3 linked regions of the Stegostoma tigrinum genome follow. The protein of the gene in region 3 purifies or fractionates together with the protein of the main gene of each other region. This does not show direct contact. Links are inferred from orthologs where the notes say so. Each region holds a gene or a part of one and is shown on either strand. Other genes may lie near its edges.

Region 1 (10,469 bases), on a different chromosome or scaffold from region 3:
TTGCTAAAAGCTTTTCTTTTTGTCTATTCATTAACTTTAATTGCCCACCTTCCTAGCTTAAGTGATTCTAGCAACACAAAGCACATGTGTAACAACTACTAATTGTAAACAGTTTTTTGTGGTAACTTTGAGCATCTGACCTTTTACATAAGCAGTGGCAAATGATGAAGAGCAATGCATACAAATTTAAAAAGATCTTGATCAGTTCAATGACTGACACTGTGGCAAATGTAGTTCAATACAAGGAAATGTAAAATTTTAATTTTGACAGTTTACGTATGAATATTAAATGGAAGTGTAGTTGAGGCCTTGAAACAGGAGAGAAATCTTGGGGTTTTAGTGAAAATGTCAAAACAAAGGAAATATAATGTTGGATGGCAAAGATAGGATTATGATGTACAAATCCAGAGAGGCTATTTTCAAACAGTATTCAATTGTCTATATTACTGTATTCTAGCTCAATCATTTCAGGTTTTTCATGTAGTTCTTTGCAGTGAGTGATACTTCTATGATTTTCTCATTTCATTGGAGTTTGGAGGGACTACCATGAGTCATGGATTTGACTTCAAGGGTGTACACGTGCTTATTTGGAAATGGGGACCTTTAGTCTCTTTACCATTTTAAATAACGACTAAAATTAATCAGATATTGGAGGGGGTATGGAGAAAGGATTTTCCTACAATATAAGAGAATGAGGAATTCTGGTGAAAAGTATTTTGCAGCTAATCTAAATGTTTGTAAAATGTATGATAATGCACATGGAAATGATGGAATGAATTGCTAGTAGGCAGCTGCAGCATTTTCTGGAATCAGAATATTCGAGTCAAAAGCTATAAACGAATTTCTGCTTTAATTTAGTAGTGAAGAAACAGATTGTGATAAAGTTGAATATCTATTTAGTAACTTCTGTAGTTATAGATCTTTTTAATCAATCTGGGCAGATATGTTACAACAACATAGTGGAGCATGAGACTTGAACCCAGATATCCTGGCTCAATGGTAAGGACACCACCAGAGTGCCATATGCGCTCCCAAAAAGTTTGATGAGTAGATATTTCAATCAACTTGTTCCGACATGTTATGACACACCTCTAGAGCAGGTTATGACACACCACAAGAATCCTAATTGAAGTTTTGTATATTTTAATTAATCACATTCTCATTCTTTTCAGGGAACTGAAACCAGGAGAAGAAACAACATGGAAGTGAAGACCTCAAAGCAGGACTGTGAAACAAGCAACCATACTGCATAAAAATCAGCCCAAATGCGGTTTTTGTCTTGAATCTTCAATTAGGGATCCGGTGAAAGTTAATTCAAGTAATGCTGTTTTGTTTTAGTACATTTTCACCTATCTCAATCTGCATATCTCTGTGTAACAGAAAACTAATTTAAAGTCCTAAAATTTGCCCAAGATTGTCCCCTTTGTATCACTGGAGTGTAAAGTTTAAAAATGAACAGCAGATAGTTCATTATTTGTTTCATTAACCTGGATATATACAAATGGTATGGCAGACTTAATAAAACTTATTGTATTTATTTTTATTTGAACCTTTTTTCGACATTACAATTTTGAAGTTGTAAAATGTTAAGTGAGGAATGGTAGGACATGGATTTGTGTCGAATGATCATCTTTCCATTCTGTTGCCCTGAGAATTGACAAAGCAAAAATACAAGTGTCATCAATTCCAAGTGATCAACATATTTGAATGAATGATTTAAAGTCACATATGTCTAGGGAGATACAGTGAAAAGTGTTCTGTCACCACAATCTGGTGCCATTTGGAGGTACAGAAGAATAAAAAGTACGAAATAGAATTCATCTTTATCAACCATAGTCCCAAACACAGCTGCAGGACTTCTGCAAGGTCCCTGCTTTGGGCCTACCACAGCCAGTAGCCACCACTCGGTGGGGCTGACACTGCCACAGTCAATGACCTGCTGTTGCCAATAGAGTCTGTGCTCTGGGCCTGCAGCAGCTGACAGCCCACTACTATTTCAGCAGTCCGTACATCAGGTCTATGAGCCAGGAATCAGCATCAACATCAATGTGTAGTGGAGAATGATACTTCATTAGATTATTTCAAATTATGAGCTCTTAATAATCCTACTGAACTTGACTGAGGACTTTGTAAATCTTGGAGTGGAACTGCAGTATTTCAGTGGCTTAATAAGATTGTTGGCAAGTATTCAAACAATTTAATTTGAAATGACAGCAGAAGGTGATTATAATAGCACACAATCAATTTATACATCTGAATTGAGTGCACCCTGGTATGACATCCATGAACTGCTTGTTTCCCACCTTCCTTTTCATCCCCTTCGCAGTGATGTGCCCATCATTGTGAAGAAGGCCATGTTACTCAACAGCAGGCATCTGCTATTTGTGTGGATTGAACATTGACTACCTATAATTTATACAAAACTGGTGGCTTGCCTTTTTATTCCTTTTCTTTTCCACCTTGTGTTTTTGTTGCTTGTTCATTTGAAAGATTATTTCACAGATTACCTGTTAAGTTTCCACAAACCCCAGACTGAAAATCATTGTCCTGAATTAGAAAGTCCAACAAACAGCTGTGTGATAATTACATATTTTGGTTTTATTGATGTTGGTTATGGGATAAATATAGCCAGGATAGTGGGAAAATGTCCCTGCTTTTCATACAAATAAGGAACAATTGTAGACCACTCAACCCTTTGAGCCTGCTATTCTAACCAAAGTTTACACTCTATCCATGTAGCAGTGGAGTGTCAGTCTAGATTTATGTTCATATAACTAGATTTAAATTAAATTGTCTGACTCAGAGGCAAAGTACTACCACTGAATCATGACTTACACCTAAAATCCTGTGTTGTTAATTTCTTAAAAATCATTGTTTTTGGTTCATGTCCGGATGCCAGTAACTAGGCTAACAAGTGGCAAGGAACGTTCATGCCACACAAGTACCATACAATGACCATCCACAGCAAGAGAGAACCTAACCATCGTCCCTTGACATTCAAAGTCCTTCTTATTCAGAGGCTAGGAATCCTGCAGTGAGTAACTCACCTGACTCACATGGCAGAAGTCAGAAATGCAACGGAAAATACTTCCCACTTGTCTGGATAGGTGCAGCTGCAACAATATTGAAGAAGTTTGACGTAATTTGGGGCAAAGCAGCTACTTTACTGGTACCACACCTAAAACATTCACTCCCACTAGTAGCTACAAGGTACACTGCATAAATTCATAAGGCTCTTTAGATAGCACCTTCCAAGCACCCACCTAGCAGATAACATCACCAACTGCAAGTGCCCCTAATTTGGAAATATATTGCTATTCCAATGTCACAGAGTCAAAATTCTGCAACTCCCTTCCTAATGGCATTGTGGATCTACCCAAACAAAATGTACTGGAACCATTCAAAGTGCCTCACTTCCACATTCTCAAGGGCATCTAAGGATAGGCAATAGATGCTGGCCCAACCATCAATGCCCACATCCACTGCAACATAATCTCATGTGCTACTGGCATCCAAAGGGACTGGAAAATGATGCCATGTACAAACAACAAAATTACATACGTGCAAATCCAACCACTGTCCTTCAAATCTGCCCTTGTAATTGTGATCCCAGTCTAATGTGCATTATTCTGGTGACAGCCAAACATCCTAGAAGCCCCAGATCACTGCATCTATAAGATGCTGAAAACCATGATTGGAGATCTTCCAATCTATCTCTCAATGCCACTTGAGAACTATGAACATGTCCCCATCTATAATAAAGGGAGCAGAGATTGAAAGCATCAAGTTCCTAGGAATGACAATAACCAACAACCCGTCCTGAACTTTCCACATAGATGGTCAAGAAGGCGCAACAAAGATTCTTGCTCAGACAGCTTAGGAAATTTAGCATGTCCACAAGGTCCCTCACCAACTTTCACAGATGCGCCACACAAAGCATAATAACAGGTACATTACGGCCTGGTATGGCAAATGCTCTGCCAGGACCACAAGAAACTACAGAAGGTTGTGTGCACAGCCAGACCATCATGGATGCCAACCTTCTATTAATGGACTCCATTTACACTTCTTGCTGCTGTGGAAAGGCTGCCAAGATCAACAAAATGTCTCCCACCCCGGTAATGCTCTCATACAACCTCTTCTGAGCAGAAGATACAGAAGCTTGTGCCCCCCTCCTGAGATGCTGCTTGGCTTGCTGTGTTCATCCAGCTCCACACTTTGTTGCCTTCAAGGCAACAGGGAAGCTACTCCTGAAACTGATCAGCAGATGCAAGGTATTCCGCACGGAAACAGACCCTTCGGTCCAACTTGTCCATGTCGACGATAAGAATTACATTTCTATACTCTCATGCTTCCCCAACTTCTAATCTGTGCTGCCGTAACTGCTGAGAAATTCCAGCAGTTTTTGTGGGTTTTGTTTTTCAGATTTCCAGCATCTGCAATTTATTTGGGATAATGGGAACTGCAGATGTTGTAGAATCCAAGATAATAAAATGTGAGGCTGGATGAACACAGCAGGCCCAGCAGCATCTCAGGGGCACAAAAGCTGACGTTTCGGGCCGAGACCCGATGAAGGGTCTAGGCCCGAAACGTCAGCTTTTGTGCCCCTGAGATGCTGCTGGGCCTGCTGTGTTCATCCAGCCTCACATTTTATTATCTTGGAATCTCCACACACGTACGAACAGGTTCAAGAACGGTTTCTTCCCTGCTATTATTAGACTGATGAATGGACTTTCTAACTTCAAAAAGGTGATCCTCCTGCGCAGTGTAACCTGTATGCCTCATTCTATTTAAGCACCCTAAGTTCTGTATATCCCTGCTTACTATAATCTGCTAGTGCTGCTCACAAACAAAGCTTTTCACTGTACTCAGGTACACGTGACTACAATAAATCAAATAAAATTTCAGACAGAAGACACTAACTGCTTTGTTTCCAATTGTATAGGCACAGGCAGGCAAGCCGATTCCTGAAGCTTAAAAAAATGAAAGAACTGCGGATGCTGTAAATCAGAAACACAAAGTTGCTGGAAAAGTTGAAGGGTCTAGGCCTGAAACGTCAGCTTTTGTCCTCCTGAGATGCTGCTTGGCTTGCTGTGTTCATCCAGCTCCACACTTTGTTGCCTTCAAGGCAGAGATCGACAAATTCTTGATCTCAGAAGGAATCAAGGGCTACGGGGAGAGTGCAGGGAAGTGGTGTTGAAATGCCCATGAGCCATGATTTAAATGGCAGAGTGGATTTGATAGGCCGAATGGCCTTACTTCCACTCCTATGTCTTATGGTCTTATGGTTATGCTGGAAAAGTTCAGCAGGTCTGGCAGCAGCCGTGAAGGAAAAAAAGAGCTAATGTTTCAGGTCTGATGACCCTTCCCCAGAACTGTCCTGAAGCTACTCCTGAAACTGATCAGCAGATGCAAGGTATTCCGCACGGAAACAGACCCTTCGGTCCAACTTGTCCATGTCGACGATAAGAATTACATTTCTATACTCTCATGCTTCCCCAACTTCTAATCTGTGCTGCCGTAACTGCTGAGAAATTCCAGCAGTTTTTGTGGGTTTCGTTTTTCAGATTTCCAGCATCTGCAATTTATTTGGGATAATGGGAACTGCAGATGTTGTAGAATCCAAGATAATAAAATGTGAAGCTGGATGAACACAGCAGGCCCAGCAGCATCTCAGGGGCACAAAAGCTGACGTTTCGGGCCGAGACCCGATGAAGGGGCTAGGCCCGAAACGTCAGCTTTTGTGCCCCTGAAATGCTGCTGGGCCTGCTGTGTTCATCCAGCCTCACATTTTATTATCTTGGAATCTCCAGCATCTGCAGTTCCCATTATCTCCGACAACATTCCTGTCTGGTCCTGCACAATAGGAGGGACAATAGTACATTTCCGCCAGCAACAGGCCGGCGTCAACTGTGATACAGGAAACTCCGGATCGGCATTGATTTCCTAAAATTCCGGACATTTTAGTCGGTTTCTGAAGAGAAGTGACTGCACTCGGTGTAGATCTAAAACCCAGGCCGGCTGTGTCCAAGCCGGGCCTCAGCCTCAGGGACACCCCCGCGTCTCTCGCTGTGTTACGTTGCTAGGGCGACTGTGCGTTTCTATACGCATGCGTATGAGCAGGCCGATGATTGGTTCTCGCTTTGACCCCGCCCCCAGTGGGTGTAGTCACGCCGCACAGGATGATGGTTCATCGTCCATCATGGAGGCGATATTTCACGAGAAAGTGAGTTGATGCGGAAATTACTGTTTAAAATGGTCGAGGTGGGAGCTCCTCGGGCCCTGAGAGGAACGGCCGCAGTGGCGTTCGACGTCGTGTTGCAAAGGGGGAAAAAAAACACGCACACACACACACGTTCACACACCCCTCCCTAAGGTTGGGGATGGAGTCGGGTAGGACAAGGGGAGCTGTGAGCTTCCCAAACGGTGTAGACGGGGGAGGAAGTATTCTTCTCCCCGAGTGGGGGGGTACTTTCAACCCTTTTCCCCTGCCGATTGAGGGGCCTTCACTCCCTGACCCCCCCTTCCTCCGACTGAGGAGTCTTCGCCCCCTGCCCTACCCACTCCGACTGAGGGGCCTTCATCTTCTGCCCCACCTACTCCGACTGAGGGGCTTTCACCCTCTGTCCCACCCACTCCGACTGAGAGGCCTTAACCCTTCTCCACCCTAACTGAGCTGCCTCCCCCTCTCCTCCCCCACCCCTAGTTTATTGAAGTTTTAAATATGTTGTTTGTAACAGTCTTTGATGTCCTGTTTCTGATCCAAAATATTTCTGATCATTCCCATAAAGCATTTAAGAGAGAGTTTTTCGTAATACACCTTTAATTACCTTTGTGTGAGGCTCAAAAATGACAGCAGCACTTGAGTATTGAGCAACACTTGTTACTGCATGATACAAGAGCACAATTTGTCAACCAGCTGACTCACAATAGTTGGTAAAGTTATGTTTTTACAGTTTTACTTCAATATAGGTGATCATTGTTCGGTGACTAATGTGTGGAAGTTCATCTGTTTCTGATAGGGAATTGGCTAGGGAGAATTGATGCCCAATATAGTGAAATGTTGGTTGTGATTACAATGTGACAAACTTGCATACATTTCCCATATAGATATGGGTGTTGGAATTGTCAAAATATGAAAATAAAGATGATGTAAAATGTTCAAATGGGGACTAAATTTCAACTGATTCCTGATCTGATTATCTCTCACCATATAACTTTATATCTTTTAAGGCAGCACAGGCCTTGATTCTACATAAAATGTCATAAGATATTACTAACTCATAATAATTGTGGTAAATTTCATTGATTATGCAGCTATTTATTTGTATTCTTTTAGTTCATACATACTGTAAATAACTCATTAAAACTTTACAATTTATGCCTAGTTATGCAAGACCTATATAATTCTGACTCTTGTACCTAACAATATAGCAGATAAGCTGGCTACATATGTGTGTGTATTGTAAAATGCCATGTATATTTATTTACTAATACTTGTACTTATTTGGCGAACCCTATTTTCTCTTATTCTGTATAAGAGCATCAGAACGAGAAGTAGATCGTTTGCCACCCCCCTCCCCAAAAGCCACTAAACTCATTCTTGATCACAAATCTGTCCAACTTAGTCTGAAATATGTTCAATGACCTAGTCTCAACTGTACTACGTGACACAGAACTGCAAAAATTAATGACACTCCTAGAGAAGAAATTCCTCACCTCTGTTTTAACTGGGAAGCCCATTGTTTCTCTTCTGCCCTTCCTCCCCAAGAGGAAACACTCTCTCCTACTTTTTCAGACCCCCCAGAATTGAATGTACAAACTTTTCCTTTCAAAGCTAACTGAGGTGACAAAAGGATCAAAACCAAAACATATACAAGATAATTGGAAAAAGAACTAGATGATTGTTGAAGAGAATGTTAGGCAGCAGTTTGTTCAAAGTTGGAATGCACTTAATAAAGGGGGGTCGAAGCAAACTTAATGTTTAAAAGCAAATTTGTGTACTTCACAGAATCTTGTATTCTTCCGCTTCTGCCACACACTCATCTTCTCCGTAAGCTATATGTTCCTCCTTTTCAGACAATAACCCATTTCCTTCTTGAATATATCAAGTGAACTTGCCTCCACTGTACTCTTAGCAGTGCATTTCAGATCCCAACCTACAGGAAAAAGCTTCTCATGTTTTTTGCCTGTTACCTTAAATCTGTGCCTTCTCATTTTGAAAGACTCAATAGATGAGAAATTTTTCGTTAATTACTCTGTCTAGACTGTCCTTTTCTCCTATATTGTTTCATGGGATCAGCATCTGTTGCTCATCCCTAATTGCCCTTGTACTCTATGGTTTGTTAGGTCATTCCAGGCAGCAATTAAAAGTTCACAACATTGCTTTGATCCAGAGCAACATATACGCAGACTGGGTAAGTAGGATAGATTTCCTGTCATAAAACATGTGAGTGAACCAGATGGATTTTTAATGATTTTTCATGCTAGCTTTATTTTGTGTAATGAACCCAGCTGATATTATTACTGGATAACTTGAATGCCAGACAGGAACCTGACTTGATAGATCATAATTTTATTTGTTTTGGTTTTAGAAACATGGTCTCTGACATAGACTTGAGCACATAATGCTCCAGATTTTGTTTCACTGACCAAACTAGTTTATTAAAAAGAAACAATGATAGAATAATCCAAACTACTTATGGTACAAATTGCAAGGTTTTAAACACATTAGAATCCCATTAATCCCAAAAACACCTTTATAAATTAAAATGAAGCCAAGCTGCTTTTAATATCTTGCTCAGAACACTCCTGGCACTGTTCTCAAACCATCACTCCTGGTACAGTATACAAGCATCATTCATGTAATATTCACGCCAGTTAAACTCGAACTCTGATACCTTACTCCTGGGGCTGTCATACACTTGAACTTTACTGCAAATAGCTTAAACAACCACTCCATCTTTGGCTTGACATGCTAAAGTACTCAGCAGCCTCCTTAGATTCAATACGTACTTATGTCTTTGTTAAATACATCTTAGCAGCAGTAGGCCATTTAACTCTTTAAGATGGCTCCTTTGTTCAATAGATTCTGGTTGAAATCCACATTGCCATTTGCCCTGAAAATCTATCTGTTCCCTTACCTAACAAGAGTCTATCAATCTCTACCTTAAAGATACTTATTGATTATGCCTTCTGAAGCCGAGTTCCAAAGTCACATAACCTCCTCATCTCTATTCTAAAAAGGCCACTAATAATTTTAAGTGTCTTCTAGTTTTGCTCTCTCACGAGAGTAAGTGTCTTTTTCACCTTCACCCTGTCAAGACAACTCCGAAAAGATAAACTTCAGTCAAATCACTCGCTCTTCTAAAGTGCAGAAATAGAAGTCCTTGGTGGATTCGCCCCCGTGAATAACTACACAGTGTGGTACCAAGTAATTATAGCATAATGTGGGCTTGTATAACATAAGCACAGATTACACGTGTAATATAACTTTTGACTTGGGCAGGCTACAATTGCACTTTGTCTCAAAGAAAAATCCAGGCAGTGTAGGATCATGCATAGCTTTGGAGTAACGTTGACCATACTGATTAGTGACCAGTGATTGCATTTTAGATTCGAACAGGATGAATAGCCAGTTGGCAACTTAACAGAAGCCTGTCTGGACTTGTGCAACTGTACCTTGGTACATGTGATTAAGCTCTGGAAAGGCACCATGAAAATTGTAAGGGAACTAAATCCTGTTTAGATTCTCTCTTGATGGAGATTCTAATTGTCTGGCACCTGCCTTTTGTCAATATTACTTAACACTTAGCCCATGGTTGAATATCATCTATGCCTTTTTGTATACAGCCTGCACTGGTTCGGTATTTAAGTCATAAGGACACTGCAGTCATCAGTGTATGTTCTCACTTTTGTCCCTATGATGGAGGGAAAGGTCAGTGAAGCACTAAAGAAGGTTAAGTCTAGGATACTACTCTGAGGACTTCTTGCAGCAATGTGCTAGGGCTAAAATGATTAATCTCCTTCAAACGCCACCATCTTGCTTTCTATTTATTGGGTATCTAATCAGTGGAGAGTTTAATCTTCTGATTTCCATTGGCTTCAGTTTCGCTTCTACCTTTTGATGCCGCATTCTGTCAGATGCTGGTTTTGACATTAAGTAAATTGCCCCCACCCCGTTTCTTGACTTCAGTATCACTGCTAAGATACTGCCAGCACCCATATCCTGACTGTACTCAGTGTCTTCAGCCAATTCTTGACATTATGTGGAGCGAATCAAATTATCTGCAGATTGACATTTGTGATTCTGTTGATGTCAGGAGTTGACCAAGATAGATCATGCATTCAATATTTCTGGTTGAAGAGGATTGCACATACTCCAGTTTTGCCTTTGTACCAATTGATGGGCCTTCCCATCATTGAGGGTGGGAATGTGTGGAGTCTCCACCTCCTGTTAGTTGTTTTAT
Region 2 (11,134 bases), on a different chromosome or scaffold from region 3:
CGGTAAAAAAGGCAAATGGTATGTTGCCCTTCATTACAAGAGGTTTCAAGTTCAGGAGCAGGGATGTGTTCTACAGGGCCTTGGTAAGGCCACACCTTGAATATTGTGTGTAGTTTTGACCTCTTTTTCTGAGGAAGGATGCTCTTGCTCTCGAGGGAGAGCAGTGAAGGTTTATCAGGCTGATTCCGGTCAGAGCAGACTGATGCATGAGAAGAGATTGACTAGGTTGGGATTGTTTTTGCTGGAGTTCAGACAAATTGTTGCCTGGGGGATTCTCATGGAGACTAATAAAATTCTAACAGGACTAGACAGGGTAGATGCAGGGATGATATTCCCGATGGTGGGTGTGTCCAGAACCAGGGGTCACAGTCTGAGGATTCGGGGTAGACCATTTAGGACACAGGTGAGGAAACACTTCTTCACCCAAAGAGTGGTGAGCCTGTGGAATTCATTACCACAGGAAGTAGTTGAATGTGCTCAAGAGGTGCCTAGATATAGCACCTGGGGCGAATGGGATCAAAGATTATGGGGAGAAAGCATGATGAGGCTATTGAGATGGACATTCAGCCATGATTGTGAAGAATTGTGAAGGCTCAAAGGGCTGAATGGCTTCCTCCTGTTCCTATCTTCTATGCTTCTATTGTAGTCCTTTCTTTTGACTAGCAGCATCCTAAATGAGCAACAAACATCCTAGCCAAACATTAAATATTCATTATCATTCCATCAATTTCCACAGCTACCATCACCACACATCCTCACCCCCTCACAGCTCAATTCCATTCTCCCAGATTTTTCATCCCTGTCTCATCTCTTTTTATAATTCAATCTTCCACAATGGTGCTTCCTGCGTACCTTCTTTTATCTCAACTCAGGATCCCACCACCGGTCAATGTGGGGAGGTAAAATGCAGACTGAGTGACCACTTTGCACAGCACTGGCATTCTGTCCGCAAAAATGACACCAAGCTTCCAGTTGCCTGCCACTTCAACACATCACTGTGTTCCTGCACCAGTATCTTTTACTTGGGCCTGCTCAGTGCTCCAGTGAAACTCAGCGCATGCTCAAAAAAAAATCTCACTTTCCGCCTGGGGATCCTGCAGCCTCAAGGACTCAACATTGAGTTCAATTACTTTAGAACCTGATTCTGTTCTTTTAAATTCAATCCCCACACCCAGTCCTGTTATGACATATATTGATTTCAGCTCAGTCATCCATTCTCACATACTCCTAGGTCCATTAGCACAGAGATAGTAAGAACTGCTGATGCTGGAGTTTGACATAAGGCGGTGTGTAGCTGGATGAGCACAGCAGGCCAGGCAGCTTTCGAGGAGCAGGAAGGAGTTCATTTCTGAAGAAAGATCCCGACCCAAAAAGTTAGCTTTCCTGCTCCTCGAATGCTGTGTTCATCCAGCTACACACTGCGTTCTAGCACTTTACATGGATTGCTTTCGGCACAGCTCACCCACTCTCTCCTACTCTTAGCTCTGATTGTCACTGATTCAGCTTTTCTTCTGACCTTTTCTGCTTTCCATTATCTCCTTCTTTACCTACCCTTTTATATCTCTATCTATCAGGGCTCCATTTCCACCTATCCACTCACCTGTAGCCTTCCCTGCTCCCTACCCTAAAGTCAGATTCAGCATAAATACCACCTTTCCCTAGCTTCTAACATTTCTGATGAAGTCACTAGACTCGAAATGTTAACTCTACTTTCTCCTCACAGACACTGCCAGATCTGCTGAGCTTTGCCACCAATTTGTTTTCATTTCAGATCTCCAGCATCCACAGTTCTTTGTTCTATCCCCTGGATGAATGTTTTGCTGTTCTCTATAACCATTACCACCTAGTTTGCATTTTGTTCTATGATACCTCGGCTTCTTAATCCTCCCTTCCCTTTTCAGCAGTAGACAACCCATCCCATTTTTACCTATCCTTGGTTCGTACAGGATCAAGAAGAATTTTTAAAAAACATATTATCAAAATGGTGGGATTGCAAAGCTCTGAGATGCAGTGGGATCTGGGTATTCCAGTGCATGGATAGCAAAATATAGTTTGAAGATACAACAAGTAATTCAGAAAGTTAATCCAATGTTACCATTTATTGTGAAGGGTACTGAATGCAAATGTGGGGAAGTTATGCTTTAGTTTTACTGGGAATTGGTGAGCTCATTTCTAGAGCATTGTGCACAGCACTGGTTTCCTTATATAAGGGAGAATATAAATGCAACAAATGTATACTAGACTGGAATGGGCAAATTGTCTTATGAAGGAAAGTTGCACAGACTAGGATTGTGTCCACTGGAATGTAGTTATTAAGAGATATGGGTCACAGGAGTGTATATGGAGTTAGGTCATCGATCAGGCATGACCTCATTGAATGGCGGTACAGTCTTGAGGGACCAAGTGACCTACTCCTGTTCCCATATTCCTACCTTGCTCTCCAGGAGAGTACAAGGTGACATTACTGAAATATATAAGATCCTGAGGGGTCATGACAGGGTGCACATGGAAAGAATGTTCTTCTTGTAGGAGCATCTAGAATTAGGCGATTCAAGATAAAGGAAGCACAGATTTAAGATAGAGTTGAGGGGAGGGTTTTATTTTTCTCTTCGAGATTTGGGAGGTTTTAGGATTAGCTTTATGAAAAGGTGGTGGAAGCAATGTCTCTGAATAGTTTGAAGGAGGAGGTGCATAGATTCTTGGCAAGCAGGTAAGTGGAAGATTATCAGGAGTGGGTGCGAATATGGAGAAAACTTATTAGATGATAGAATAGGCTGGAGAGGGCAAATGGCCTACTTCTGATGCTAACTCACATTTTATATATTATATTGGACTTGAAACATTAACTCCGCTTTTCTGTCTCTCTCTACAAATGTTGCAAGACCTGCTGAGGCTTTCCATCACTTTTTTTAAAATTTGAGATCTCAAGCATTCCCAGTATTTGTTTTTATGTTAACTCTTGTCTTACTACCCTATTGCACCAACCGCTTTGGGGTTAAGGCTAGTTTGAATTTTGCCTTCTGTGTGTTAGCTGATCAGCACCCTGGTTGCCGGGAAGTGCTCCACATTAGTTTAGGCTAGGAATTAGCCAATGTAGGAGGTTAGGTGAGACTACGATCAGCTGTCTAAGAGTCTCTTGGCACACTCTGTCAAACCTTGAGGTGTACATGCCATACAATCGCCTAGTTACTAGAAATTGGAACAACACAGTTCCTGCAAAGTGTGCCAACACCAGAGAGCGGGATTGAAAAAAATGGATTGAAATCATTCATATTATTACTGTGATCTCAAAAAAGAAAATCAATGTAGAATCATGTGCAACCTTTTCATCTGATTCTCCTTGGGAAAATACATCTGATATTTCACTTTCCACTAAACTTCACAAAGATGTATCTCCAAAAGATTACTAATCTGAATTTGAAACTGAAGTCAAATTTTGGTTTCCTCAGTGATTCAGCTTTTGAAGGATAATGTTCAGATAACTACAAGCTCTAACTTATGGCTCTAACCACTCAGCTTAAAGCCTGAAAATGTATTCCTGCTAATTCTTGTAGGCAGCAATGGCTAAAAAAATACAATCAGCGTCATAGGACATGACTGTATAACAAATAAAGAGTTTAATAATGTAATTAATACTGATGAATAAATAGTAGTTGAAAATATCAAAAGCTTTTTTGGTTCATATCTACTGTACTGATTCCAACTAAATGGATAAGGTACACAATATTATTATTACATCTTCCTGCATTTAAGACTCAACTATATAATTAACGTCAATGTGAATGGTTTCTAAAACTCCTACAAACAAACATAATTCGACATCATCTCAAATGGAGTTCATTTTAAAAAAAGCCTGCATTTCTGTTGCAATAAAATTGACATTTCAAAATTCCTGGTGATAAAATTAATTTTGTGTGGCTAACTGGTTAAGCCCATAACTAAAAAGGATTATTTCATACTCTCATGGCATTTTGCCCCTCCTGCTGGTGCTAAGTTTTGTTTTAGAGTAGCTTCACGCATTAGTAATCAGTTATACAGAGCCTTGTATAGCTACAAGCTGACTCAAAGCACTTTAGAACCAACTAAACACTTTTTTGATAAACACAAAGAGGTGCAGATGATGGAAATCTGAAACAAAAACAGAGTGCTGGAGAAACACAGCAGATCCGGTAGAATCTGTAGAGAGAATACAGAGGTAACATTTTGAGTTTGGCAATCCTTCATTAGAACTCAAGTACATTTCTGTTTTGTCCTTTGTTCTCATGTTAAAAAACATGGAAACAAACTTGGATGCAGCAAGCTCACACAAACAATAATTGATCAAGTAAACATTTTAAAAACCCTGTTGCTTAAGGGATACATACTGGTCATACACGAGAAAACTTCTGCTCCAACTCAATTAATCCATGGGATCCTTAAACATCAACTGAACAGGCAGACGGGGACTTGGCGCTTCTGAAAGATACATGTCTATTTAGATTTTGTGGTGATATTTGAACCTAAGAGCTTACAGGCTCAGAGATGGCAGTGCTCTGAGGCATACAGTACACCAGGGGTGGAAATATCTCACCCAATTTCCCTTCATTTTCAATCAGTGAATACCAGTGGGCTCAGACACCATGGCAGACAAGATCAATTCTCTGTCCTCTCCAGACGTCACCATTGCTGCATCCTCTAACAGGGATACATATTAAACATTGATTGTTCTCCCATGCTGACCCAGAGCCATTTACTTCAATCCTAGAACCTTAGCTCCTATCTCAGTTGAATTTCATCAACAGGGTATTAATGAAGCAAAGAATGTGTTCAAGGTGTAATAATGAGCCATAGAATACCTGTGACCCACTGGTCTATGGTGGAGGGCAGGCTGCTCTTGTTCTGGAATATCTTAAAATATATCGATAGGACCAAAGAAATTTGAATGGTTGCACACAGCTTGGCTGTTAATGACTGATATTTAACTCGGAAAGCTTCTTCAGAGCTCGATTCCTGTTCTTGGCTTCCTCACATTGCTTCCACGTGCATTTTTAACATCTCTACACATCGATTGATGTCAAAGAGCCAGCAGACCTCCGTAGATGCATCCTCTTGTGGAAAGGAGCCATGAGCTGGGCTGGGAACAATTAACAGCGATAGGATGAGGGAAGGGAGGGGGTTGGTGGGTGGAATCTTGCTCTTTGACTAACACAGCCTTGCCAATGGCTATGCCTGAACATCACTCAAGAAGAAAGGAGAGACAAACACCCCTATTTTGTTCCGCCCTCTTTGCTTTCATTTTTTTCGAATATAACATCAAATGATTCTGAATACTGTGGCACCAATTGCATGGAAATGAGCACCAGGCTTCGCGAAGCATAATAGCCTGGAAGTACAAGGAAGAATTCATAATGTACATCTCTCACACATGGTGAAGTTATTTGCCGACATACATCCACACCATCACACTAACGGACTACAATTTCTTTGTTGAAAGATACAGCTTGTCACCAGAGGTTGAAGATTTAATTTTTTTTTAATTGGTAAATTTCATCTATGTGTAGGAACACACAAAGAAAAAGTTAGCAGCAGATGGATCAGTTAAATTGCAATGTGGTTAACTGCAAAGGAAATTCAAAACTTTGTTCACAGAATACTTGCAGTGAGCCAGCTGCTGTACACCCAGGCACACTCCAACCTAACAATTAGTAGTCCCAATCACTTGCATTGTCCGCTCGAAAAAAAGGCAACGTAAGCCAGTAATAAGCAGACGACACATAGAATAATGTGCCACTTACCAATGGAGAATAAATTCGTTGACTTGCCTTTCAAATCCTTGGACTGCAATTAGAACATAAAGGCACTAATGTATTTCTTTTAGGAAATAACTGCTCGGAATAGGACCTTGTGAAAAGTGCTGCGACAGTTACTGGCGATACTGAGTACAAGGTGAGTCCCTAAATTCTCTATAACTTGCAGAATCACTTTATTTAGCTAAGTACTTTTTTTGATATCAGGTATCCTATTCGGAAATTGCCTCTGATTTCATCAATTAGTAGCAATCTGATATATAAGTGCTCCCGGTTAAGTGTTTTAAAGTTCAATTTCTTTTTCCCCTATTTGTTTTCCTACTCTCAGGGAGGGCTGATTCCACAGGTGCCAAGTCGGTAGCTCTCCATGCCGTTGCTTCAGCGCCCACTCTTCATACAGGCGCTGAACATCAGCAGAAAGTTCAGCAGTGGACGGGCATTAGAGACGGTCCTGATTGCCTCATTTCATGGACACCCTCATACACTTCAAGCAAGATCTGGGCAGGATGCAGTAGGAGTATTGAGCAGCGTGCAAATGTCACCTAGGATTTTCACTTCAAGGTTATTAAAAGTTAAAATTTAGAATTGGAGATGTCCATATTCCAATAATATTAGAAAAATTGTTCATTCTTCTACGAAGATTGAGGGGAAGAAATAATCGCAAAGGCACCAAATGTACCGCCAAAAATGTATACCACACTCTGAACATAATTAAACCAAAATCATAATGTTATCGTAACACTTCCAAGTGAGAAATTCTTTTCTTTTCGATAACTATGATAAAAAATTAGCAATAGAATTCATTTCTTTAAAACTGTATTATTTTCAGCAGTACAAAAATTGAAAGCCGCAGTGAAATATTACTGATGGTTTAAAACAGCTCCATTACTCTTAAAGCAACACAGGCTCTGTTGTACAGGATCATATCGTTCTATTTGCATAATAAGCAAAAAGGGACTGTGAGTCAGTTTTGCAAACTCTAGCCTCTGCTATTTCCTGACTGAGCTAAGGGGAGGGCAGGTGGGGCGGGAAGGGCATGCTACAATGAGAAAAAAAGCGACATCACTTGGGGCACATGATCAACGGCAGCCAATTAGGTTGAATTATCAAAGGGGAACAGTTAAATTTGTAATTTAGGTTGTGTGAAACTCTTTGGGCCTCATAAACAACCACAGAACCACAAGTTGGGTGCAGACCAGTCACACAACAGTGGGTCCGGGATATTGGTCAGCACACAGCAACTCATTCTGATTTAAACCACAGAGTGCCAAGCATTTCGTACAGTGGTAAGCATCATCTAACCACAACCAATCCACTATTTTTACATTTCAGACCTCAAAAAAGTACCTTATCGTGTTGTTTGCAGCACTGCAGAAGCTCTGTGATAAGGTAAAAGGAAATTGCCAAAGATGAACGGTACGGTGGAGAGTGCGACTCTTAAATTCTGTTGGTTTTCCTTTGAAAAGGTGGGAGACCTGTGCAACCAGTTAGGACGGCTTCACGGGACACCATGGCTTCGAACAGCATATTCGAGTCATTTCCTTCATATCAACAGTGCTTCATGCGAGGTGAGTACCCCTGTTTAAAATGATTCACTCCGGTGCATGTTGAGAAATAGTCCTCCAACATTAGATACAAGAAAGATGCTGTTGCTTTTGTGGCTGCACGATGAGTACTTACTGAGTTCATAGCTGATGCAGAAAAAGGTTTATTTTTAAGCATTTCATTTTAGTTGGCAATTATCTCCAGTTCAATAAACACTCTGCTGAGGACAGAGAAGTGGCTCAGAAACTGAAACACGTCTGTCATGAGCAGCTTTTCTCACAATATGATATGACTCTTGTCTGATGGATTCGTTGAAGAAAGTGTGTACTCTTTAGGGCTGACTGAAGAAACACTGGAGTCTTTAGTAAAGTCGTTTTGAAAACACAGAATTAGTCACCCTTGACTGTGAGGAAACAGAAGTACGAGATATATGTTCAGAAGCTTATGTCATTTTGAGTCACTAACAGTCGTCAGAATCAGGCTGCTTTTCTTTCAATGTTTTTGAAAAAGAATGACTACAATGAAGTGAGAGAGACTGATAAATGCATGAGCAACACCCTTGAAACAAAGATTGATAACTCTCTTTCTAAACTGTTGCTCAATTGTACATAGCATGTCACTGTTTTCAGTACAATCTGCACCTTAAGCGAGAAATTTGTACCATCGACTCATGGTGGTTGGATGATTTATGCATTCCTGCATCATCATTCAGCTCCGTCGAATGGCCACAGTCCCAGTGTAAACTTGCTAACAGCTCCCTTGGCTCACTAAACAACTGTTTCCTCAGTGCTGTTAACAGCCAGAGGAAACAATATTCACCAAATAATGAGAAGGACCTTCCTGCATTCAGTTTGCTTTTATTTCATGTTTTGTTTCCAACCCGTGGCCACAGGAAAACTTATTGAGGAAATTTTTACGAGTTAGATAAGGTAATAAAGAGCAATGTATAAATAATCCTTTTTCACTGATACAGAATGCAGGCAGCTGAGGCATAGGCTGCTGAACAGTTAAGGGTATTAGTTAAGACGCCATTTTTAGCCCATCACATCGGGTGAAAGAGTAAGAAGAGGAGAGACCTTGAAGCAGGCAGACCACCAGACCACCATTGGTCTGTCCAATTGATGGCTAAAACAAAAGAAGGGCAATTGCCACATGCAAACCAGACAGGTATTCAATAGAACTTGAATAGACATGAGGAGGAGAGTCTTTTTAAATATGTGTATAATAAAGCCGTAAATTTGGAAAGGAAATCAGCTTATTTAATCTGCTTGTACTTGAGATAAATTTGTTTTTGTTATTTTGGCTTGGCTTCCTCTTTTTCCCTTGCCTGTGCATTGAACTCTGGTCAGCCTTGAGATATGAGGCAAAAACAGAATGCCTCCTGGACACATGCAAGTTAGATAAATAATCATGTCTGTGGGCAAATTGTTTCTGGTGCACTTTTCTCCTGGCTATTTGCATAGCCCGGTCTTTGCAAACGTTCCCGGCGCCGCTCTCTCCATCTTTTGCAACAACACTGCTGAAATTTATTGCCCTCGCTCTGCTAACAAACCCCGAATGGTCAGCTGTGGGGAAATAACAAGTGGTTCTCGTCCCATATATTTCACTTTATCAGTCCTTGCAGTTCTCTCAGAAGGAAATCCATAACTCTTGTAGCACGATACCCATGTTAAAAATGAGAAGGAGAGAAAAAAAAAGCAATTGTTCTATTCTAAGAAAACACTGGAAGAAAGCTGACGCATGAATTGAGTGTGGTACACCACAAAGGATATGGGTCTTTTCTATCATACCACACCAGGCTCTCCCTTCTGCTCTCCTACAAGGAAACTGCTGAAGTCGCACCTTCCAATGAAACATTGCGCCCCAAGAGGATGGATGTTTTCAGTTTACAGTGAGTTTAAACATTAATCCTGGTAGAGAATATAAGCGCAGTTTCATTGTTCTGGTAATATATCACTCAATGGTACATTGTGTTCCAGCAAACCTTGCGCTGTGCACTGGTAATCTTTTCATTTTGCATTCACGATCTAACTATCAAAGGATTGCAGGGTTGTGGGAGGTGAGGTAGAATAAAAGAGAGACTTGTTTTAACATTGTGCTCTTCCTGAATGCAGAAAATCTCAAGGTGCTTCAAAGCCAATAAAAACTATTGAGGTGTTGTCTATGATGTGGTGTAGATAATGCGGCAGTCAATTTCCACACAGCAAGCTCCCACAATACACAGCAAGCAATATTATACTGTTCCGGTAATCTGTTATTGTGATGTTCATTGAAAGGTACATACTAGCCAGGGTATCAGGGAGAACTCTGCTGCTTCCCTGAAAAATAGGGCCAAGGGATCTTTTTGATCCACTGAGTGTAAAGAGAGCCTTGGTCTCATTCAGAAGATGATGCACATGCTGCACCTTTTCCTGATTCTTGTGCTCAAAAATTTACCAAAAAAGTAGAGTTGCTACCAATAGTATTAAGGCCTTACTCTGACTCTCTTCACTGATGAGTTTGGCTTACATTCTAAATTTTGTTAAATATTGTTGACATTACATTCATTATATTTCACTGCATCACTAGATAATGCATAAGCAAAGGCATTGTTAGTTAAGTATCTACAAAATGAGCAGGACAGTGGCTCTGTGGTTAGCACTGCTGCTTCACAGTGCCACGCACCAGGGTTCCATTCCACCCCGAGGTGGCACTCTGTGTGAGGTTCTACTCAGATCTGTGTGGGTTTCCTTCGGGTGCTCTGGTTTCCTGTCACAGTCCAAAGATGTGCAGGCTAGGTGGATTGACCATGGGAAATATGCGATTACAGGGCAGGGGGAATGGGTCTGGATGAGATGTCCTTTTGGAGGTTCAGTGTTGATTTGATGGGCTGAATGCCCTGCTTCCACACTGTAGTGAATCCATGAATGAGGCATTTCACAATGCCTGGCACTACAAATCTGTTGCATGAGTCAAGACTGGAAGGGATATGCTGAATGAATATTAGACATTGCCTGGTTTGATATCAAGTATACTCACTGACTACCACAGGAAGGCACAATTCCACAGCATAAACATCACTTGAACTTGGTTCTCATCTTGGTTTCTTTTGATGAATTAAGACAAGTACTGCTCTGAAAGACTGGGAACAAGAGGCTGTTAAATCCCAATTTATCCATATGAAAAATATTAAAATAGAAAAAGAAAATTTCTAGATTGTTTCCTTATTCCTCATCATTGGCAACATTACTGCGATCATCCATGCAATATTTACTCAAGAAACATTGAATATCCTCCTATAATAAATTGTTATCCACTAGGAAATGCATTTTGCGCACATGTATTGAAGCAAATGGGTAATAAAGGATTCTAAGGTAAATAGAATGTTTGAAATAAATATTTTAAAGTTGAGAAGAACTTTCATTTACATAGCACCTTTTGCATTCTCACACTATCCCAAAATGTGTTACAGTCAACCAGGTCCTTGTGAAATATGCCCACTGTTGAAAATACTGCAGCCACTTGATTTACAAGAAGGCAGCAGTGAGTTATATCATCAGGATATGTAGCTTTAGGTGTTAGTTGAGGGGTAAATGTTCACCAGGACACAAGTCAACCTTTGTTCCAAATATAAAATTTATAACATACATTAAGTGGAACATCTGATCACCTTTGAGGTCTGTTCATTTTGTTTCTCAACCATTTACCACTGGGTGGCATGGTGGCTCGGTTAGCACTGCTGCCTCACAGCACCAAGGACCCACCTTTGATTCCACCCTGAAGCCGCTGTCTGTGTGGAGTTTGCACATTCTCCCCATGTCTGT
Region 3 (10,237 bases):
AAATTCAAACATGGAAGTGACCAGTCGGGACATGTACAGTCAGAGACTCTGAACTTGGAGTCTAGCAGGATCAACTTGTCTAATCAGAGATTCAGTCTCTCCCACACAGCTGCTCCTCCTCCAGAGACAGAATCTGTGATCAGAGGTGCATCTGAAGGCAAGAGTGAGAGAACCTGTGATTAGCCAAGCTAGAAGTCATAGTCTGACCACATGCATGCTGCCTTGCTGGTGAGATTCAGAAGCCAAAGCAGTGGCTTTTCGGTGGCTTGGACAGAGTTTCGGCTGGGCAACAGACCACTAGGCCTGCATGCTTGTTGTTTGAGAAGATAGGTATCATAGCCTTTATGCAACATGTAACTTTATCCATCACTGGCTAAGTTTATCAAAGTTTAGAACCACTCATAATATTCAATGCACTGCAAGAAAAGAACACAAGAGAACTTTCCACAAAGAGGTCATGATTATGGTAGCCAAGATAGTTAATATGTGTAGAGAGGGATGGAACACAGAGATAGATCATCTGCAATTTTGTTAAAACAAAGAAATAGAGCACGGAACAGTACAAGACAGGATCGAGCCCTTCGACCCATGATGTCATGCCAGACACATCAAAATAAAGCAAATCCCTTCTGCTTGCCCTTGGTCCATATCCCTCCACTCCTTGCATATTCATGTGCTTACCTAAAAGTCCCTTAAATGCCCTTATCGTGTCTGCCTCAACCACTACCCCTGGCAGTGCACTCCACTCTCCTACCAGTCTCTGTGTAAAAAATGTGCTCATGTCTCCTTTGAACATTCCTCCCTCACTTAAATGCATACCCCCTAATATTAGACATTTCAACTCTGGGAAAAAGATTCTGACTGTCGATCCTATCTAACCATCTCATAATTTTATAAACTTCTACCAAGCCTTCCCTCAGCCTCCACTGCTCAAGAGAAAACAACGCGAGTTTTTCTAGCCTCTATTTATAGCTCATACCCTCTAATCTAAGCAGCATCACGACAAACCTCTTCTGCACCCTTTCCAAAGCCACCTAAAGGCTACCGAGTTGTCAGTCAGCATCTGACATTCAATGCGTATGAAGCCTTTCAGGAAGCTATTTACAAATCATGTTTTCCCTAGTTACAGGAATTCTTGGAAAATCAGGTTTTACATTAGGTTTCCATTGGGAACATAGGATTAGGAATAGGCAATTCTGCTCTGCCGTTCAATTAGATCAAAGTTCACTATCTACCTCAAAGCTAATTTTCTATTTATTTTGGTGAATGTACAACAATATGTGAGGTTTATTTCTAATAAATAGCCAAAAATTTCCTATTATAGGCACTTAGTTAAAAATTTGATAGCGTTAACGTACATGTCATCCTTGATATTTTTGCTAGATTATCTATACCTTCAAAGAAGAAAACACAAACTCAAAAGGCAATATTACTTCTTGACAACATTGTTAAAATGGAGTTTGATACAATGACAAATAGCTCTGTGAATCAACACTGGCCTTGAGAAAATCTCAAAAAAAACCCTCGATAAAAATTTTAACACTTTCACCTAGACGTAGAAAATGTAACCCATGTAATCGTGCCTAAGCAAGATAATGCAAGGGATTTTGGTAAAGGCAAGAAGTTTAAAAACTGTGGGGGAGCTAAAAAGTCTCTATCAATATCGTCCTCAATTTCTCATTTTCCCAACTTCTGTAACTCACTACTACTATACTAAATATCATCCAGCATTTTGTTAAAATTCATTCATACAATATGCCCCAACAGCAAGGTATTTATTGTCCATCTCTGACTGAGCTGCAGAAGATGCTGCTGACCCTCCTTCTTGAATGACTTGCCTTGATTTGACAACTTTAGGGCCAACTACACTGAAGTTACATATACCATGGTACAGGCAAGGATGGCAGACCTTCTTCTCTAAAGGAGATCCTGAACCTAATACATTCACACCTTTCCAGCAATTTCTAATCACTATTACTGACATGAAGTGTTAAATAAATTAATTAAAATTCTAAGCTGCTGAGGTAGGGATTTGAGATCTTCCCTCTGGTTCATAAATCCACATCCCTGAATTACTGGCACCATCACGTTTGGGTAACCCTCATGTCATTTCTCCTGTCTCAGTGCAGCACTTGTACACTTAATAACCACTAAGTCATATATCTCCAACATTGTATCGAAGAATGGCCACTTATAAATGTGTCAATGTTCCCCATGTCTCGATATGTTCCCCTTTCTCTATAACTAACTGCTCGTAACCCCATTGGCACCTTCCAGCCACTGATCCACTCAGTAACCACCTCTCCACATAGCTCAGTTCACTGAATCACCTCAGTTATCATAATACATTTCGGTATGTTTCAATTCACCATTCATTTTCTCCCATGGAGAGAGTCTCTATAAACCCCCTTGGTCTCCCTTTTGATAGCCCAATGTGTCCCCTCCCCCAGTCTGTATGTCCGTCTTGATTCATCCTCCTCCACCGTCCCTACGTGCTCCCACTCTCTCGTTCCACCCCTCACCCCACCGTCCCTACGTGCTCCCACTCTCTCGTTCCACCCCTCACCCCACCGTCCCTACGTGCTCCCACTCTCTCGTTCCACCCCTCACCCCACCGTCCCTACGTGCTCCCACTCTCTCGTTCCAACCCTCACCCCACCGTCCCTACGTGCTCCCACTCTCTCGTTCCACCCCTCACCCCACCGTCCCTACGTGCTCCCACTCTCTCGTTCCACCCCTCACCCCACCGTCCCTTCGTGCTCCCACTCTCTCGTTCCACCCCTCACCCCACCGTCCCTACGTGCTCCCACTCTCTCGTTCCACCCCTCACCCCACCGTCCCTACGTGCTCCCACTCTCTCGTTCCACCCCTCACCCCACCGTCCCTACGTGCTCCCACTCTCTCGTTCCACCCCTCAACCCACCGTCCCTACGTGCTCCCACTCTCTCGTTCCACCCCTCACCCCCCCCACCGTCCCTACGTGCTCCCACTCTCTCGTTCCACCCCTCACCCCACCGTCCCTACGTGCTCCCACTCTCGTTCCACCCCTCACCCCACCGTCCCTACGTGCTCCCACTCTCGTTCCACCCCTCACCCCACCGTCCCTACGTGCTCCCACTCTCTCGTTCAACCCTCACCCCACCGTCCCTTCGTGCTCCCACTCTCTCGTTCCACCCCTCACCCCACCGTCCCTACGTGCTCCCACTCTCGTTCCACCCCTCACCCCACCGTCCCTACGTGCTCCCACTCTCTCGTTCCACCCCTCACCCCACCGTCCCTTCGTGCTCCCACTCTCTCGTTCCACCCCTCACCCCACCGTCCCTACGTGCTCCCACTCTCGTTCCACCCCTCACACCCCCGTCTCCTTTCACCCCTTACGCCCCTGTCCCAATGTGCGCCCCTGCCCATTTCACCCCTCACGCCCCCTCCCGTCTCCCCCCGGGTCCCCACGTGCCGCCTCCCGTCACGCCCCCTCCCCCCGGGTCCCCACGCGCCCCTCCCGTCTCGCCCCCTCCCCCCAGGGTCCCCACGCGCCCCTCCCGTCTCGCCCCCTCCCCCCAGGTCCCCACGCGCCCCCTCCTATCTCGCTGCCTTCCGTCTCGCCCCCTCCCCCCCCCAGTCCCCACACGCACCCTCCCGTCTCCCCCAGTCCCCACCCGCTCCCTCCCGTCTCGCCCCCTCCCCCCCCAGTCCCCACACGCCCCCTCCCCCCCCAGTCCCCACACGCCCCCTCCCCCCCCCAGTCCCCACACGCCCCCTCCCCCCCCCAGTCCCCACACGCCCCCACCCGTCTCGCCCCCTCCCCCCCCAGTCCCCACACGCCCCCACCCCCCCAGTCCCCACACGCCCGCACCCCCCCCAGTCCCCACACGCCCCCTCCCGTCTCGCCCCCTCCCCCCCCAGTCCCCACACGCCCCCTCCCGTCTCGCCCCCTCCCCCCCCAGTCCCCACACGCCCCCACCCCCCCCAGTCCCCACACGCCCCCACCCCCCCCCAGTCCCCACACGCCCCCTCCCGTCTCGCCCCCTCCCCCCCCAGTCCCCACACGCCCCCTCCCCCCCAGTCCCCACACGCCCCCTCCCGTCTCGCCCCCTCCCCCCCGAGTCCCCACACGCCCCCTCCCCCCCCAGTCCCCACACGCCCCCTCCCGTCTCGCCCCCTCCCCCCCCAGTCCCCACACGCCCCCACCCCCCCGCCCCCTCCCCCCCCAGTCCCCACACGCCCCCACCCCCCCCAGTCCCCACACGCCCCCACCCCCCCCAGTCCCCACACGCCCCCTCCCGTCTCGCCCCCTCCCCCCCCAGTCCCCACACGCCCCCTCCCCCCCCCAGTCCCCACACGCCCCCTCCCCCCCCCAGTCCCCACACGCCCCCTCTCCCCCCCCAGTCCCCACACGCCCCCTCCCCCCCCAGTCCCCACACGCCCCCTCCCGTCTCGCCCCCTCCCCCCCCCAGTCCCCACACGCCCCCTCCCCCCCCCAGTCCCCACACGCCCCCTCCCCCCCCCAGTCCCCTCTCGCCCCCTCCCCCCCCCAGTCCCCACACGCCCCCTCCCCCCCCAGTCCCCACACGCCCCCTCCCCCAGTCCCTACATATGGCCCCTCTTGCTTCACCCGCTCCCTAGTTCTCTGTACCCGAACCCCATTCCCACTCTCCACCCTGTGTCCCAAAGTTACCCCCTCACTGACCGTAATGGAAGTTGCCCACATCTGGGTCATAAAAGTAAGAGACCTTCCGGGACATGGCGCGCCGGCCAGCCGCCCAGATTGCCACCCGCGCACGCACGTACTGTGTCACCACGCCATGCGTCTGACGCAGGCCGGCGCGGCGCTCGCTCCGACGAGGGGGCGGGGTCAGAATTGACGGGCGGTTTCCGTGGTTACAGCGCCGCGTCTCCCATGGCAACAGGGAGGCGACAGTGTTCAAGGAATTTGGGAACTGCAGATGCTGGAGAATTCCAAGATAATAAAATGTGAGGCTGGATGAACACAGCAGGTCAAGCAGCATCTCAGGGTTCTAGGGTCGGGTTCAGTCCCAGGGCGAACAAGGGATTGTGCTAACGTTGTGGTCAAGGCAAAGGGCAGTGCAAAGGTTAAGAGTCAAATAAAAGGGCAATGCAAAGGTTAAGGGCAATACAAAGTTTAGAGGTCAATATGAGAATTCCCTGGAAGAGCCCAGGCCAAGTTTAGGGTCAAAGTTACATTCAGAGTACATTAATGTCTGGATGTATGGCTCAACTCTACATACCTGTCTTCTGCCCGTTTCCCTTAATATCTTTGCTTAACAAATATGTATCAAATCAGATTTAAAATGAACAACTGATCCAGTATCCATTGCCATTTGTGATATGGAGTTCTGAGCCTCTACCACTCTTTGTGTGTAGAACTGATTCCTAATATCTGTCCTTAACGGCCTGGTCTTAATTTTTTAGATTGTGCCCCCTAGTTCTAGAATCCCCAACCATTAGTAATAGTTTATCTTTACCTACCCTGTCTTTAACTGTTAATATCTTAAAGACTTCAGTTAGATAACTCCTTAATATTATAAAACCGAAAGAACAGTGGATGCTCTAAATCAGGAACAAAAACAAAGTTGCTGGAAAAGCTCAGCAGGTCTGGCAACATTTGTGAAGGAATAAACAGAGTTAACGTTTCAGGTCCAGTGACCCTTGCTTTTCCAGCAACTTTGTTTTAACTCCTTAACATGCTTCAGCTCTCCTATCAACACAGTACGTACCTCCTTAATGACATCAGTTCAACGAGGCAGCTACCCACCTTCTTGAGGGTAAATGGGATTGGGCAATAATTCTTACATCTCATGGGTTAATAACACTCCTCGCTTCGCATGGTGTACAGTTCAATAAGGTAGATTGCCATCACTTTTTCTCGGAGCATTTAGGGATGGAACAAATGTCAATCTTACTGAGCATGTCCAAATCCCATTGACAAATGTTATTAACCTCAGGATGTAAGGGGCATTGAATCTAATTCGAGTAACCTGAGCGAAGCTGGCTTGGTATAGTAGGAGAATCAGGAAATGGAGAAAATACAGAGAAACCTTTTTCCTCTGGCAAGGGTGGTGTGAGATGTGAACAAAGTAGTATAACCTTAAAATTAGAGGTAGGGCACTCAGGGAAGAAGTGTTTCTTCACACTAAAGGAAGAAATCTGCAATCTCTTGACTACTAAGCTCAACTGAGGCTGAGGAAATTGAAGATTGCAAAACTGATTTTTGTTAGAGAGGATATTAATTGTCATGGTACTAAGTCAGATAGACAGTGTTTACAAGTTAGATCAAAAAATATGTTACTGAATAATGCTAAAGGTTTGAGAGGCTAAATGATCTTATCCCGTCCAAGTGGCTTGTTGAGATATTTCAGTACCATGCCAGCTCACAAACATTGATATATGTAGTGAAGTATCCCTGGGTCCCTCATAACAGCACGAATCAGATGCAGCATAACATTGAGACATGAATGCAGATATTGGGAAAGATGAACAGAAGTATTGCTGCAAAATTAGATCTTAAGGAGCCTCTTGAAGGAGGACAGAGGTTAAATTATTAATTCTAAGGAGAAGGGCATTGCTGGCTAGGTCAACATTTATTGCCCACTCCTACTTGCCCAGAGGGAAGTTGAGAGTCATGCACATTGCTATGGGTCTGGAGACACATGTAGTCCTGACCAGGTAAGGATGGCAGTTTCCTTCCTTAAAGAACATTAGTGAACCAGATGAGTTTCGCTGACAATCGGCAATGGTTTCGCAGTAATCATTGAACGTCTATTTTCAGATTTTTATTGAATTCAAATTCCACCATCTCCCACGGTGTGATTTGAACCCAGGAATATTACCTGTGTCTCTGGTTTAACAGCCCAGGAACACTACCACAAAGCTGCCACCTCTCCATAAAGGTTATTGGATAGAAAGATTACAGAGGGAATTTTAAGCGAAGGCAGGTGTAACAATTAAGATCTGGGATGTGTAAAGGGCCAGATACAGAAGTCTGCGGGAGAGTATGGCCTGTCACAGAGCTTTGAGTGGGATTTGGACTGTGTGGAGGCTTTTGCTGGCCCTCTGGTTAGAATAGAGTCAGGCTCATGCCTTGTGTCAGAAGCTCCAATTACAACATTTACAAGGCATCTGGATGAGTACGTGAATAGGAATGGTTTAGAGGGACATGGGCCAAATACTGGCAAATGGAACTAGATTAATTGAGGATATCTGCTCAGCATAGACGGTTAGAGTGAAGGGTCTGCTTCCATGGGGGACGATATTGCATGATTTGCAATCACTGCCGTTCAGAATCCAGTGGATCAACTTGCATGCTTCTGGCCAAAGACATTCAGGTACCGAACTATACAGGTATCCTCAGGCCCTTGCATTGCAATGCTGATATGCATTGGAACACCTATCTCCTGTAGGTGATACAGGTAAGCAGTGCGTGAGGGAGAGTCGTCCGTCTCAGCTCTACTGCAGCAGCGGAATGAGTGTTGAAAAATCCCACTGTTCTGAGGCAGGAGAGTGAACAGGCTGAAGGTCACGGTGATACTGCAGCATGGCAGTGAGTGACGAATGGGTCCAACCAATGCCGCACGGAGGTGCCTAGAGCGGCGACTTCTAGATGTAGCACATGGAAATGAATGACCGAAAGATCAAAGTTGGAATTGCGATGGAACAGAACGCTGAGAGAAGGAAGAGGGAGCAGAGCGGGACCAGAGAGGCGAGCAGATGCTTGCATCACTCTGCACACTCTCTTTACGTTCCTTTCTGCTGCCTAACCTTAACCGGAGGACAACCGATATCCTTCAACATGACCTGCTCAGATTCGCTGCGATGGTGCTGACGCAGTTGGACGAATCTACCCCTGCAATTTAACCCATTCAGGAGGCAAGTAACAGAATTGTGAGGGAGAACTGGCTTAATTAAGATGCAGTGGGTATGTGATACCAAGTTTGGGCTTTTAATACGTGGAGCTTGTCGGAGGTGGGACTGACGGAGTAAACAGATGTACATTTTTAGAATCCCAGAGCCAACGAGATGCAATGATATTTGACCTCAACGTGAGAAGGCAGAGTAAACACAACAGGATTTAGGTCCTCGGGATCCTGTAAGGTTGGTGCTATTGCAAAGATTCATTGAATGACCTGAGCTTAAATGAAGAGAGGCTGAATCTAATTTCAGTGTATTGCAGTGAACAGTTTGTATCTATGTGTTGGTTCGAAAGCTTTCTACGTGCTGTATGCTTTATTACTTCGAAATGATTCACAAATATCTCGTGTCATTTCCCACCCCCCCCCGCCAGGAATTTGCCGTGCTTGTGTAAGGTAGATTCACGGCCCTTCCCGATAGCCATTTAAACTGGTGGCACACTGTTGTAAATTATAAATGTGCTTACTGAGATGAGAGGGAGATGAGTGTCAGTAGCGGATCAGTTTCGCTGCTGAGATCAAACGCGCGCCGGTCAGGCTCAGCAATAAATGGAACCGGTTCCCATAAAGCGAAGTTGCCTGAATCAGTTTTGTTAAATGTCTTCCTTATCTTGGGTTATAATTTCTGTTCGTTTACAAAACAAAACAGAAATAGCCCGAGATAATGGGAACTGCAGATGCTGGAGAATTCCAAGATAATAAACATAGCCTGAGTTTATTTAGCATCTTTTATCCCACCAGGACTTCCCAAAGCACTTTCACTCAGTGAAATACTTTTGAAGTGTTGTACAGGTCACAGACCTTCGACGGTGTGAAAATGACTAGATTTTTTTATTTGAATCCGTTTTGATAGTTTGATGCTATTTGCATCTAATTGAGGTAGATGGGCCTTTCATTTTCGAATCATATGCAAAGTATACCTCGTCTAACATGCTGTGTACCCTCAGAACTAACATGAAGCACTCCCGCAGAGCCGACCTTTCAGTAGTATAACACTCTCTAAGATCTGATATTCCAATAGCGGATTACTCCCACAATGTGACCTTACAATGCTGTTGTGCTCCCCAGCATTGTTCCTTCGAAACGCATTGCTCCCTGACTACTGCCTCTCTGACAGTGTAGCACTCCTTCAGTACTGCCCCTCTGAGAGAGCAGCACTCTCAGCATTGGTCCTCTGACAGTGCAGCTTTCCCTCAGCTCTGCACCTGCAACACTGCAGGATTTCTTCAGCACTGCCCCTCCAAAAGTGCAGCTTTCGCTCAGCACTGCCCCTCCAAACTAACTCACGTTTTTGTTTTAGAATGCTATGTTCATTTCTGAGAACCACACCTTAGTGAGGATATATGAGCCTTGGAGAAGGTGCAGTGCTCAGTTCACCAGACTGATGGTGTTGAGAAACATATCAGCCATGTTTGAATGGTAGAGCAGGCTTGATGGACTGAATGGCCTAGTTCGGCTCCTATATCATATATCTTATGATATCAGGCTAAACGAGTTACACTTTAGGGGCAGGTTACATAGGACAGCTGGCAAAATCCAAAAGAACTACGGATGCTGTAAATCAGGAAAGAAAACAGAAATTGCTGGAAAATCTCAGCAGGTCTGGCAGCATCTGTGAAAAGAAATCAAAGTCATCATTTCGGGTCAAGTGACTCTTCCTCAGAACAGAGGAAGGCTGGCTGGTGTTCTGTTATATGTACAAGATTAAGGAGTGATCTAGTTGCAGTGTTTAAGATTATTAAAGATTAAAGGTAGAACTCAGAAATAGGAAGGATGCAGTAACAATGTTGGGGCTGTACTACAGGCCTCCCAACAGCGAGCGTGAGATAGAGGTACAAATATGTAAATAGATAATGGAAAGGTGTAGGAGAAACAGGGTGGTGGTGATGGGAGGGTTTAATTTTCCCAACATTGACTGGGATTCACTCAGTGTTAGGGGTCAAGACGGAGCAGAATTTGTAAGGTGTGTCCAGGAGGGTTTTCTAGAGCAGTATGTATGTAGTCCAACTCGGGAAAGGGCCATACTGGACCTGGTGCTGGGGAATGAACCCGGCCAGGTGGTTGATATTACAGTAGGGGACTACTTTGGAAATAGCGACCACAATTCCGTAAGTTTTACAATACTCATGGACAAGGATAGGAGTGGTCCTAAAGGAAGAGTACTAAACTGGGGGAAGGTCGACTATACCAAGATTCATCAGGATCTGGGGATGTAGATTGGGAGAAACTGTTTGAAGGTAAATCCACATTTGATATGTGGGAGGCTTTTAAGGAGAGGTTGATTAGTGTGCAGGAGAGACATGTTCCTGTGA

What was found.
Region 1: the proteins of hdac3 (region 3) and atxn3 purify together in Homo sapiens (affinity purification with western blotting; 3 studies listed by BioGRID). This does not show direct contact. The link is inferred for Stegostoma tigrinum from reciprocal best matches to the Homo sapiens genes HDAC3 and ATXN3.
Region 2: the proteins of hdac3 (region 3) and runx1 purify together in Homo sapiens (affinity purification with western blotting; 3 studies listed by BioGRID). This does not show direct contact. The link is inferred for Stegostoma tigrinum from reciprocal best matches to the Homo sapiens genes HDAC3 and RUNX1.

What each region holds. Positions count from the first base shown.
Region 1 is NC_081363.1:27,977,995-27,988,463, forward strand, and holds the start of atxn3 (ataxin-3), read left to right. Parts: upstream 1-6,158; 5' UTR 6,159-6,202; coding exon 6,203-6,226; intron 6,227-8,349; exon of another isoform or gene 8,350-8,417; intron 8,418-10,469. Other genes in the region: NADH dehydrogenase [ubiquinone] 1 beta subcomplex subunit 1-like, read left to right, coding at 1,173-1,209. UniProt on the Homo sapiens protein: Deubiquitinating enzyme involved in protein homeostasis maintenance, transcription, cytoskeleton regulation, myogenesis and degradation of misfolded chaperone substrates.
Region 2 is NC_081365.1:22,189,272-22,200,405, reverse strand, and holds the start of runx1 (runt-related transcription factor 1), read left to right. Parts: upstream 1-6,911; 5' UTR 6,912-7,072; intron 7,073-7,252; 5' UTR 7,253-7,296; coding exon 7,297-7,354; intron 7,355-11,134.
Region 3 is NC_081366.1:12,267,156-12,277,392, forward strand, and holds the start of hdac3 (histone deacetylase 3), read right to left. Parts: upstream 4,794-10,237; 5' UTR 4,743-4,793; coding exon 4,688-4,742; intron 1-4,687. UniProt on the Homo sapiens protein: Histone deacetylase that catalyzes the deacetylation of lysine residues on the N-terminal part of the core histones (H2A, H2B, H3 and H4), and some other non-histone substrates.